Arabidopsis thaliana: one gene and its partners. The protein of the gene in region 3 interacts with the protein of the main gene of each other region in a pairwise test. Each region holds a gene or a part of one and is shown on either strand. Other genes may lie near its edges. The genes, in order: HBT, APC11 and APC2.

Evidence for each region.
Region 1: the proteins of APC2 (region 3) and HBT interact in binary tests that used the Arabidopsis thaliana proteins (3 or more experiments, as listed by UniProt).
Region 2: the proteins of APC2 (region 3) and APC11 interact in binary tests that used the Arabidopsis thaliana proteins (3 or more experiments, as listed by UniProt).

The regions. Positions count from the first base shown.
Region 1 is NC_003071.7:8,635,471-8,639,224, reverse strand, and holds the start of HBT (CDC27 family protein), read left to right. Parts: upstream 1-1,924; 5' UTR 1,925-2,324; coding exon 2,325-2,429; intron 2,430-3,078; coding exon 3,079-3,151; intron 3,152-3,270; coding exon 3,271-3,380; intron 3,381-3,516; coding exon 3,517-3,563; intron 3,564-3,651; coding exon 3,652-3,749; intron 3,750-3,754. Other genes in the region: AT2G20010 (Gls protein (DUF810)), read left to right, coding at 40-229, 329-1,248. UniProt on the Arabidopsis thaliana protein: Component of the anaphase promoting complex/cyclosome (APC/C), a cell cycle-regulated E3 ubiquitin-protein ligase complex that controls progression through mitosis and the G1 phase of the cell cycle.
Region 2 is NC_003074.8:1,751,485-1,755,238, forward strand, and holds APC11 (anaphase-promoting complex/cyclosome 11), read left to right. Parts: upstream 1-1,804; 5' UTR 1,805-2,011; exon of another isoform or gene 2,012-2,467; 5' UTR 2,468-2,476; coding exon of another isoform or gene 2,477-2,505; 5' UTR 2,506-2,790; coding exon 2,791-2,828; intron 2,829-2,915; coding exon of another isoform or gene 2,916-2,917; coding exon 2,918-3,036; intron 3,037-3,202; coding exon 3,203-3,318; 3' UTR 3,319-3,657; downstream 3,658-3,754. Other genes in the region: AT3G05860 (MADS-box transcription factor family protein), read right to left, coding at 1-128, 219-251, 329-871. UniProt on the Arabidopsis thaliana protein: Component of the anaphase promoting complex/cyclosome (APC/C), a cell cycle-regulated E3 ubiquitin-protein ligase complex that controls progression through mitosis and the G1 phase of the cell cycle.
Region 3 is NC_003071.7:1,622,555-1,626,308, reverse strand, and holds the start of APC2 (anaphase-promoting complex/cyclosome 2), read right to left. Parts: upstream 1,680-3,754; 5' UTR 1,377-1,679; coding exon 1,146-1,376; intron 984-1,145; coding exon 912-983; intron 818-911; coding exon 586-817; intron 453-585; coding exon 172-452; intron 71-171; coding exon 1-70. Other genes in the region: AT2G04650 (ADP-glucose pyrophosphorylase family protein), read left to right, coding at 1,823-1,874, 1,967-2,064, 2,377-2,477, 2,559-2,637, 2,731-2,791, 2,870-2,916, 3,005-3,097, 3,183-3,273 and 2 more. UniProt on the Arabidopsis thaliana protein: Component of the anaphase promoting complex/cyclosome (APC/C), a cell cycle-regulated E3 ubiquitin-protein ligase complex that controls progression through mitosis and the G1 phase of the cell cycle.

The DNA of each region.
Region 1 (3,754 bases), 7.0 Mb from region 3:
TATTCATATATTGATTGGTTTTGTAACTTTCTATTGTAGGTATGGAATCCGAGATCGAATAAACTCGGTATCGCTCCTTCTGCTGTGGATGTACTGAGGATGGTAGATGAGACATTGGAAGCGTTTTTCTTGTTGCCGATTCTTTTGCATCCAGTTTTACTTCCTGAGCTAACGTCAGGACTAGACAAGTGTATGCAGCATTATGTATCAAAGGCGAAATCATCCTGCGGTAAGCAGTTGATTGTTTAGTTTTTGGAATAAAAAAGCTCACGCTTTGTTCATTTCACTTATGGAGTTTCTGGTTTTGTTTTTATATGGTTTCTATTAGGCTCGCGGAATACGTTTCTACCCGTTTTGCCTGCTTTAACAAGATGCACGGTCGGGTCCAGACTACATGGTGTATTCAAGAAAAAGGAGAAGCCAATGGTAGCTTCTCACAGGAGAAAATCACAGCTGGGGACGGGTAATGACTCGGCGGAAATACTTCAGTTCTGTTGCAGGATCAACACTCTGCAGTATATCAGGACAGAGATCGAATCATCTGGGAGAAAAACATTGAATCGTCTCCCGGAATCCGAAGTTGCAGCTTTGGATGCTAAAGGTAAAATATTTGAACAGTCGATTAGTTATTGCTCGAAAGGAATACAGCAATTGTCTGAAGCAACTGCTTACAAGATCGTCTTCCACGATCTGAGCAATGTTCTCTGGGATGGTCTGTACCTCGGGGAAGTTCCTTCCTCAAGGATTGAGCCGTTTCTTCAAGAGCTCGAACGGTGCCTTGAGATTATCTCCTCATCGGTTCATGACAGAGTCCGAACCAGAGTCATTTCGGACATCATGAGAGCTTCTTTCGACGGGTTCTTATTGGTCCTCCTTGCAGGTGGACCATCGCGTGGCTTCACAATTCAAGACTCTGCTGCCGTAGAAGAGGATTTCAAGTTTCTATGCGATCTTTTCTGGTCAAACGGAGACGGATTGCCTTTGGATTTGATCGAGAAGGTTTCGACGACTGTCAAGAGTATACTTCCGCTGCTGCGCACGGATACAGATTCTTTGATTGAACGGTTTAAAGCAGTGTGTCTGGAGAATCATGGTTCTGACAGAGGGAAGCTTCCGTTACCGCCGACTTCTGGTCCGTGGAGTCCGACAGAACCAAACACACTTTTAAGAGTATTGTGTTACCGTTACGATGAACCTGCGACTAAGTTTCTGAAAAAGACCTATAACTTGCCGAGGAAGCTAACCTGAGAGTGACCTACTTACTACATTGGTACAAAACCCGGTTTAGTTTGAAGTGTGGAATATATTTTGGTTAAAGCGGCTAGCGATTGGTATTTGGCAAATTAAATTACTTGTACAAGAAAGTAGAAACGTTTTAGTGAAATATTCTTCTTTTGTACTAATCAAAAGCTTGTGGGCTTTGTTATATGTTGTCAACTGTTATAAATTTGTATATTTAATACCTTTGTTTTTCATCTTTCTTTTTCAAATTTATCAGATTTCTGATTGATAATTCAAGATTGCAACGATGGTTCATGAAATGGTCCTTTAAAAACTCATAATGTTTATGTGATGGATAACATCAGATATATGATGATATGGTTGAAACTTGAAGTATTCTAACTTGAAGTCATGATTCATGATCCGTTTAACAACGTTTGAAATGAGTATCAGAAAATGATTATCGTAGATATGAAACTTTTCCTGCAGACACGTTCTAGTATTTTGCTAAAATAATAGTTTGTTGCTTATTCAACCAAACAAAAACACTTGTTCAAGTAGCGCAATATCTTCGATAGTTCGATTCATTATTATGATACCCTTCTTCGACTTCTTTGATTTCCTCGAGTTCTTCTCCATACGTCACATGACTCACATCGTCAGCGATTTCATGGCAATGTTACATGTGGTGGACGACATGGAGTATCCGCGACCGCGAGATGATCTTGAAGAGGTGTTTGCTTTATGAATGACGATGAATCGGCTCTGTTTTCCTGTTTCCAACGGTTGTAATCACACCATCATCGTTGTCTTCATCTATACTAATATTCAAATGGTCAATTATAAAGCCCAATAAGCTAACTAAGCCCAAAAATGAAAACACACGGACTCAGCCCATACAAATTTTAACACTTAAGGCTAATGGGTCTGTCACGTGCGGAATAGACTGAAAACAGAGCATCGCACGTGCCGCATCAAAATTTGAAATCACGACGACTTCAAAAAAATCCCAAATGGTAAGAAAAAAATAAAAAGTTGCAGAAAAAACAGAAAACCCTCTTTTCTCTCTCTTCTCTCTCTCTCGAGGAAGAAAGGCAACAACTATGGAAGCTATGCTTGTGGACTGTGTAAACAACAGTCTTCGTCATTTTGTCTACAAAAATGCTATTTTCATGTGCGAGCGTCTCTGCGCTGAGTTTCCTTCTGAGGTAATCACCCTCTTCTTTCACTCTCTCTCTCTGATTTTACCTCTCTAATTCAAATTCTGTAAATCGAAGCTCTTGGAATGGTAAATTTGATATTTTTGGGTTTGTAATTCCTCTGGGTATCTATGAATTCGTCGAAAGTGCGTCTCTTTTTGGATTTGGAATTCGATAGCTTCACTGTGTTCTTCGAGATTGATTTTGGTTTCTTACCTTTTAGCCCTTTGTTTTCAAGATCCGTGTGTTCAATTAGGAGATGAATTCGTGTTCTTTTCTCTCTCTTGTTGAATTTGTTTTCTCTAGTAGCTGTGCTCAATGCTCATTACTGATTTGGTCTTTGGAAAATTTGCATTTTGAGGGTTAATGACTTTTGTCCATATATGTGATCTCAAGTTTAAGTATTTATTATCCTTGGAACTTAGCTATGAGTCAACTGTTAGAGGAATGTCTCTGGGATTATCTCAAGCTTTGTTAAAATTTGGGTTAATACAGCTTCAATAGTAGTTGAGAAAGTATTCATTCATTCAGCCTTTGGTCTGGAATATTTTCAACATTCGTAGTGGTTGTCCAGTTTCTAGCTTCAGTTAGTAGAAATCATGTCAATAAATGATTGGCCTTTTTGTTTGATCACTTTCTGAATTTTCCTCTTATATAGGTTAATTTGCAGCTATTAGCCACCAGCTACCTGCAGAATAATCAAGCTTACAGTGCATATCATCTGCTAAAGGGTGCGTGGCATTGTTTCTTGACTTGTTGCTTGTTAGCCTTTTAGTCAGAATTTTGCACCTTCTTTTGTTAGGTCGTTTTGATTATCTTTGTATATATATTTTTTTTTTGTTATGTAAAGGAACACAAATGGCTCAGTCCCGATACTTGTTCGCATTATCATGCTTCCAGATGGACCTTCTCAATGAAGCTGAATCTGCACTCTGCCCTGTTAATGAACCTGGTGCGGAGGTATTTAATGTTCTCTGGTATTTTGCCTTTATTCGCTTACTGAATGTCATTTTACAAAAACAGTGTGTCAGTTTCTGGACCTTATTTATTGATTTAGTTCAGTGAAGATAACAACATGCTTCTGATTATTGTGCAGATCCCAAATGGTGCAGCAGGCCATTACCTTCTTGGACTTATTTACAAGTACGTTTTTTGTTCTGTCTATGCATTTTTTCTTGATTCTGAATGGCTTAGATGAGATGATTCCTCATATATAACAGTGACCTTTTAGGTATACTGATAGAAGGAAGAATGCTGCTCAACAATTTAAACAGTCCTTGACAATAGACCCTCTACTTTGGGCTGCATATGAGGAATTATGTATATTAGGTGAA
Region 2 (3,754 bases), on a different chromosome or scaffold from region 3:
TCCAGCCATTCCTCATGTTGATTCTGAATTTGACTCGGATTGTAAATTCCATCTTGAACCAAAATCGGATATCCAAACTGTTGTTGATATTGATATTGATTATGACTAAGATGATTAAAATTTGGATTCTGATCATAAACACCAAATGGATTTATCACTAGAGAATAACTTTACTGGTCAGCATCACTAGATAGAAAATTACTGGAGAAGATATTAACCTGATTTGGTCGCTGGATTGAAGAGATAATAGGCTTCAAAGACGAGAAATCATTGATTAGTCAAGGAGAGTTGAAAACATCGAGATAATTGGAAAGGAATAAGAACTCACTTCAACAACAGATGTTGGTGTCATGGCATTTGTAGCTCCCGAAGATTCTCCAGGTTCAATATGTGATTGATTTATGGTTTTGTTTTTGTGGTGATAAAGTTCTTTAAGATATTGATCAATGTACTTACACAAATCTTCACGGTTTCTATCAGTCAAATTAAGCTTCTCCCCTTTTCCACTAAGAAGTTGGAACATGGCTTCTTTCATCGTCCTCTCCGCATTATCGATCATCTTTTTGTTGTTACTCTCCATAGTTTTTGAGATGTTTTGTCTGATAAAACCTTCGTGGCTCACCATTTTCTTCTCTTGCTCCAACTTTGTCAACATCTCAAAATTTTCCATTACATTTTTAACTTCTGAATTCGATGGCCAGACTTCAGGGTTTGAGTTGAACGGACTATAAATCACTGCACATGCTTCGATTCCGCAGAGAACGGAAAGCTCGTGGATTTTTTTCACAAGCCCTTTCTTTCTCTTATTGAATGTTGCTTTTCTCATTGACTCATTGGTGATGTAAGATAGGTTTAGCTTCTTCCTCGTCATGGTAATGACAACAATAAAAAGGAATTTGTATGTCTAGTATCAAATATGTTTTGTATTGTTGTATGTTGTGTATTGTTTTTATCATGAGTTTGTTTATATGGAACAATCAACTGTTCAAGTGATGATCTCACAAATAGCTGGCAATTAAAAATATTGTAATTAAATGCACCAAAGTTCTTAATTAATATGAAATAATGCATAGTTATGCCACTTGGTACAAATAACAAAAATTATTGGCCAAAGTTTTTGAGTTGGCTACATCAAGATTACATCATAAATTCTGGTTATGAATGAATAATATGAGAACAATAAAAGAACTTTCCATTTAGATGATGAAGATATATATATTGTAATTAAATTTAGAGATTGTTTTCTATGTAAGTATGTACATCAAAATACAAATTATAAATATTTATTATTTTAGTTTGAATAACAGCTAATATGTACATTCAATAAAATTATTTACCTTTCGTGGACAATAGGACTAATAACTAGATTTAGAAAATGTATTCAATACATTGCATCTTCTCTAATGATTTATATTTGGATATGATAAAATACTTTTTGGTATTCAACTAATTTTACAGGTTGTCAAGTATATTACGTAAGATTTTGTAAAAAAAAAATTATTCTTTTAAATAAGATTTACTAGTACTAAAGGTATTTAACTGGTTGTAAACTTGTAGTGTTCTAGTAATATTGAAAATAAACATATTCTTCGTAAAAAATGATCAAACATTCTCAGATATATGAATGATCAAATCCAAAAAGAGATATGTTTATATCCAACATGTATATATCATAATTAAAAAAGTTTTAATATAATCCATCGTTTCAATACTTTTAAGAATTAAGATATCGAGATTAGTGACATCATATGATCTCTTCATAACTTTCGTAGATTGGATAAGTAAAAACAAACCCGTTATTTGGGCTTTTAATCTTAAAGCCCAATTTATTTCTCGGGCCAAAATCAATGAAACACGTCCGTCTCTTTTTCTCCTTCGTTTCGTTTCGTCACGCTCTTTCCCAAGTCCGATCCTCTCGCCATTGCCAGCAAAATTTCTTTCCCGGTTAAGAATTTTTCTATTTCGATTTCATCGTTCGGCTACACCATCGATCTTCACACTTATTTTTTAGGTATGTTCTTGTTGATCTTGTTTTTCGGACTTTGTAATGTGGTACCAGTTTTAGATAATTAGTTCTTGATAATTACGCTCAAATTCCGTTGCTTGGCACTGATTTATTCTGCGTTCGGTACTGATGATCGTTCTTCATTCTCATTCCGATGATTCTGTGGAGTTCACTGATCTAAGTTTGATTTTGGCATACCAGTTGTTCGATTAAATGCCTGAAAGAGAAAACATTCAATTCGTAAATTTCATATTTTGTCTTTGTTTTGGTTTATGATATTTTTATCTAATCTTAAGGCTTAACTTTCAAATACGTCTTGTATACGTGTTGCACAGAAGAGTTATACCTTGAGTTTTTGTTTGTGTAGTCTTTTGTTAGTAGTCTCTAATTTTACGAGTCTGTAACCATCTTTAGGCTTATAACAGGGTTTTTGAAACTGATTGAAGGTTTTTATTTATCCAGGAGGAAGCTATGAAAGTCAAGATCTTGCGTATCCTTTTGTTGCTTCATCTCTTCTTAGCTTTTTTGGGGGAAAGTTTATATTAGGTTAAGTGATAAATCATCCCAGGACTTTTGATGGTGATCATCTGATATGATAATAAACATCTTAAGTCTGTTTATCGTGTATTAGCTTTACCGAGTTAGATTCCCAGCTTGATGATTCATAATAACTTTTTGCATCTTCCATTGGTTTATTTAATAGACTAGGTTTGTTCAAAATGCCTGCATTTCGCTTTGTTGCACAAGTAAAAGAAGAAAAACGAAATTGTTGCTCTTGACTTTCTATGCTACTTCTGTCCTGCATACCCAAAAAAAAAACAGAGTAGGTTCCTCGTCCCTTTAGCTTTAACACATGAGCTCTTACAATGCGGAGTTTCTATTGTTGTAACTGATTGTTTCTCCCTGGAATAGATGGCATGCAGTTGCTTCATGGACATGGGATGCTCAAGACGAAACATGTGGGATATGTCGGATGGCTTTTGATGGTTGTTGTCCTGATTGCAAACTTCCTGGAGATGATTGCCCTCTAAGTAAAGTTCTCTTCTTTCATGTCTTCGCTTTTATATATGTTGCTTAGAACACCCACTATTTCTCTTGCTTACGGAAACATTGCTAAACATTTACTTATGGTAATAACTCAAAACAAAACTGCATGCCTTAGACCTTATCTGTTTTGGTGTTTTGGTGTTTGGGCAGTTTGGGGAGCCTGCAACCACGCGTTTCATCTTCACTGTATATTGAAATGGGTGAATTCGCAGACGAGCCAAGCTCATTGCCCAATGTGCAGAAGAGAATGGCAGTTCAAAGAGTAAGCAAGTTATGAGGAGGATTAGTCTGCAGCTCTCGTCATAGGGGATGTTTTGGAATGATCTCGTGTAGTTGTATTTGGACCGTTAGTGTTGAGTATGATCATCTGCTGAAACGCAAGATAGAGCTTTAGTAATGTTTTTGAAGCTTGTCCTTGGTTTGATTGCTTGGACAAAGTAGAGATCAAGCAACTTTTTGTGAGCTTCATCATCTATATGGTCTTTGTTTGTAGTTAATACTTTTTTTTTTTTTTTTGTATCACGTCGCCTTTGAATTGGTTAATATATGATTGGTTCTTAGTTAATTTTTCATTACTATATTAAAACGAAAAACAATATACATTTTGAATTTACGTTGATGAATCGACCGTTTGGTTAGTGACTCATAATTTTCAGTTCAAAATAAATTCTATAGTCAAATTCAGTTGAATTTTTTCTTTTT
Region 3 (3,754 bases):
GAATCCATTCTTTGATTGATTCCAAAACAGAAGTCCTGTAATCATCACCAGCCAGATCATGGACTTTCGCCTACAGTATAACATTGCCAAACAGGGTACAAGTTACTGACAATAGATATAGTGTTATAACTCTCTGTGAGGCAGATGAATAATCTGATGCATAAAAAATACCTTAAGGAGCAAAAAGATGGCAGAAGCATAAGCATTTTCAGCCATAGATGTAAATCCAATACTTCTAAGGTCACGGACCACCTTCCCAATGTTCTTCACCAACTTGTCATGTCCCAAACGTTTTCCTTGGGAACAGCCTTCATCAACATCCATTTCTCCGTTTTTATATCTCAACTTCTCGTCCAAATCCATGCAATCATCCTCTTGTTCTTCAATACCATCTCCGTCCATGATTGCGCTTAACTCCTCCAGCCTTTCCTTAAAATACCAGTGGAGTATTTCTAAGAACATAATAAAAAGAGGAACAATAAGAGAGTAATGATTGAACAAGTGGCAAACGTATAAATAAAACTTCCAAGCAATCAAACTACATCAGAAATCACACAAAGAACAAGCTTTCAAAGATGGGTATACCAGGAAAATGCTGAGGAAGTGTAGTCATCAGAGTTGAAGACAGCATTGACTGGAACCTCGAAAAAAGATGAACTCTTTCTGTATCTGAGTTCTGTCTATCATCTGACGACTGTTCTTTAAACGACTGCAAAGCATGAACTACTATGGACAGACACTTCTCATGATACTGCTTTTCAATAGAAATTTCTTCCAAAGCCTTGCATAACACTATCTGAATCTCCTCTCCATAATTCTGCCCAAAAGCACTCATTTTTAGTCAAAACTAGAAGTCAATTTCAGAATATTTTATAGCAAACAAAGAATCAACCAAGCGTGTAACTTCTTACATGATGTTTCTTCTCACTATAAGCATCAAAATGTTGCCAAAAACTCGATGCACCTCCCTTCTCAAAAGCTTGCTGAAACAAAACAAATGTATCATAAGAGAACAAACATACTTCTTCCACTTTTACTCTACACCAACAGAGCAGCTACTAAGTGGTACAAGCTAATCAGTTATGCAATCAGAAAGCTCCAAGACTCAAACTTTAATCTAAAAGGAAGACGTTTATGTTCAGTACCTCAAGTGATCTAAGAAAGTGATCACGAACAAGAGAATCAAGCCCATACTTGCAGAGACAATACACATGAGACACAAACTCATCTTCAACTAAGGAATCTCCAGTACCAGCAATGAGAGACTCTACAGTAGTGAAAAATCCATCATAGCTTTCAGTAATCTCCTGAATCGCATCGTCTGATAGAGTTTCTAAAATCTCTAAATTGCAATCAGAGGAACCTAAAGCTTCCATCTTTTTCACTCTTGAGTAAGTAACAAAACCTCCTAAAACCCTAATTTCTTGCCCAGCAAAATCACAATTACTAGGGTTTCACTGGCAAGAAGATAAAATCAGAAACCAATCTCAATTTCATTTCACTGAAGAAACAAAATCAAACGGAACACATTAATGAAGAAAAGATTGAAATTTACATTGATGAAGTTCAGAGAGAGAAGCTATAGAAGAAGATTCATAAAGTTTGGTCATTCACAAACGCAATTATAAAACGCTAACAAACGCAAAAACAAAACGGAATTAAAAAAGACGTTTTATTAGGCTCCATTCTGATTACTCTGTTTTTCAACTTTAGTTCAAAAAACTTGAGAATATCCGACTACAAAGATACGACCTTTCAATACAAAATCAGATCATCGTCGTGTGTTTAACTTTAACGAATCTAGGTTTTATTGAATCTCGACATGTCGGAGGAGAAAGTCGTCGCTGTGATCATGGTTGGTGGTCCGACCAAAGGTATAACATTCTCTTTTGGATCTCAAATTCTATTTTCAAAACATGAATTTTTGATTTTGGTTTTGGGTTTTTGCTAATGTGGATTGGTTTAGGAACTCGATTTCGCCCGTTATCGTTCAATACACCGAAACCATTGATTCCTTTGGCTGGTCAACCTATGATTCATCATCCTATCTCTGCTTGTAAAAAGGTTTCTTCTTTTTACTATTTCTTGCTTTTGATCCCTGAGAAAAGTTTGGTATTGCTTGAGTCGTGAAAGTTGTCAACTTTGAAATGTGGATTGCTCATAACTTGTTTTGATTTGACATGGATCGTTTGTCTTTATGTGGGTTTGTTCCATTTTAGTACTCTACACTTTGGAATATTTTCTTGTTGTTGTATGATTTGTAGTGTCAAAGTTTTGAACTTTTCATAGTTTCTTCAGGCTCAAAGGATGGGAAAGTTCTCAACTTTGTAATGATGATTGATCATATTATATTTGTTTTGTATTTGGCATGGACAGATATCAAATCTGGCTCAGATTTTTCTGATTGGATTTTACGAGGAACGAGAATTTGCTTTGTATGTGTCTTCAATATCTAACGAGCTGAAAATTCCAGTGCGGTAAGTTGTAGTAGCATTTGTGTTTTTGGTTTTTGGTGTGTAATGTGAAATCGAGAATTGAACGATGTTCTTGTTATATAGATACTTGAAAGAAGATAAACCCCATGGTTCAGCTGGTGCTCTTTATTACTTTCGTGATAGAATTATGGAAGAGAAACCGGTTTGATTTCTGATGAAATTCCCAACTTTAGTTCCTGCCTCATCAGTCATTTGTTTTCCTGATTGATCTTCCATTTCTTGTCTCTTTGAACAGTCACATGTTTTCCTCCTCAACTGTGATGTTTGCTGTTCTTTCCCTCTTCAAGGCATACTTGGTAATCTCCCTTTGAAATCGCTAATCTGCTTCATCGTTTTCATTTTCTTACTTTGATGTACTTCACTACTTTTCGTAGACGCACATCGAAGATATGGTGGTATTGGAACTATGCTAGTAATCAAGGTTCGTTATCCTGATGTTATTTTAGATGTCACTAAGGAAACAAACATAAAGATCAAACATAAACATGAATATCGCTTTTTCACTTCAGGTTTCTGCAGAAGCAGCTAGCCAATTTGGTGAATTGATAGCTGATCCTGATACTAAAGAACTCCTGCATTATACAGAGAAGCCCGAGACTTTCGTAATTATCTGCTAAACAATCCTGTTTTCTTAATTCCTTCACAGGCTCTGAAATTTGTTTAGCTTAAATTATCTACTCAATGCAGGTCAGTGACTTGATAAACTGTGGTGTCTATGTGTTTACTTCAGATATCTTCAATGCAATTGAAGAAGTATATAGCCAAATAAGAGACACATGTGAGTATTCATTATTGGCCTCTCTCAGAGACTTGCAATATTATCAATTAGAGACCTGCTTCATCATTTTCATGATTCTTTTGGTCTTTTCATAAGTTATTCATTGTATAATCTCTTTAAACTTGGCAGCTAGCAACTACCAATCCGCTACAAGGTCTGTTCCTGCAGATTTTGTGAGATTAGATCAAGATATATTGTCACCTCTTGCTGGAAAGAAGCAACTATACACATATGAGAACAAGGATTTCTGGGAACAGATCAAGACTCCGGGGTAAGTTGGTGGTAATCATTGTTTCAGACGTTCTTGGATTACTCCTTATGCTAAGAAATTGCTTTAAACAGGAAATCTTTGAAATGCTCGGCTTTATATCTTTCCCAATTCCGCGAAACATCGCCTCATATTTTAGCTTCAGGAGATGGTACTAATAGGAAACCAACTATAATTGGTGATGTTTATATTCACCCATCCGTAAAACTGCAT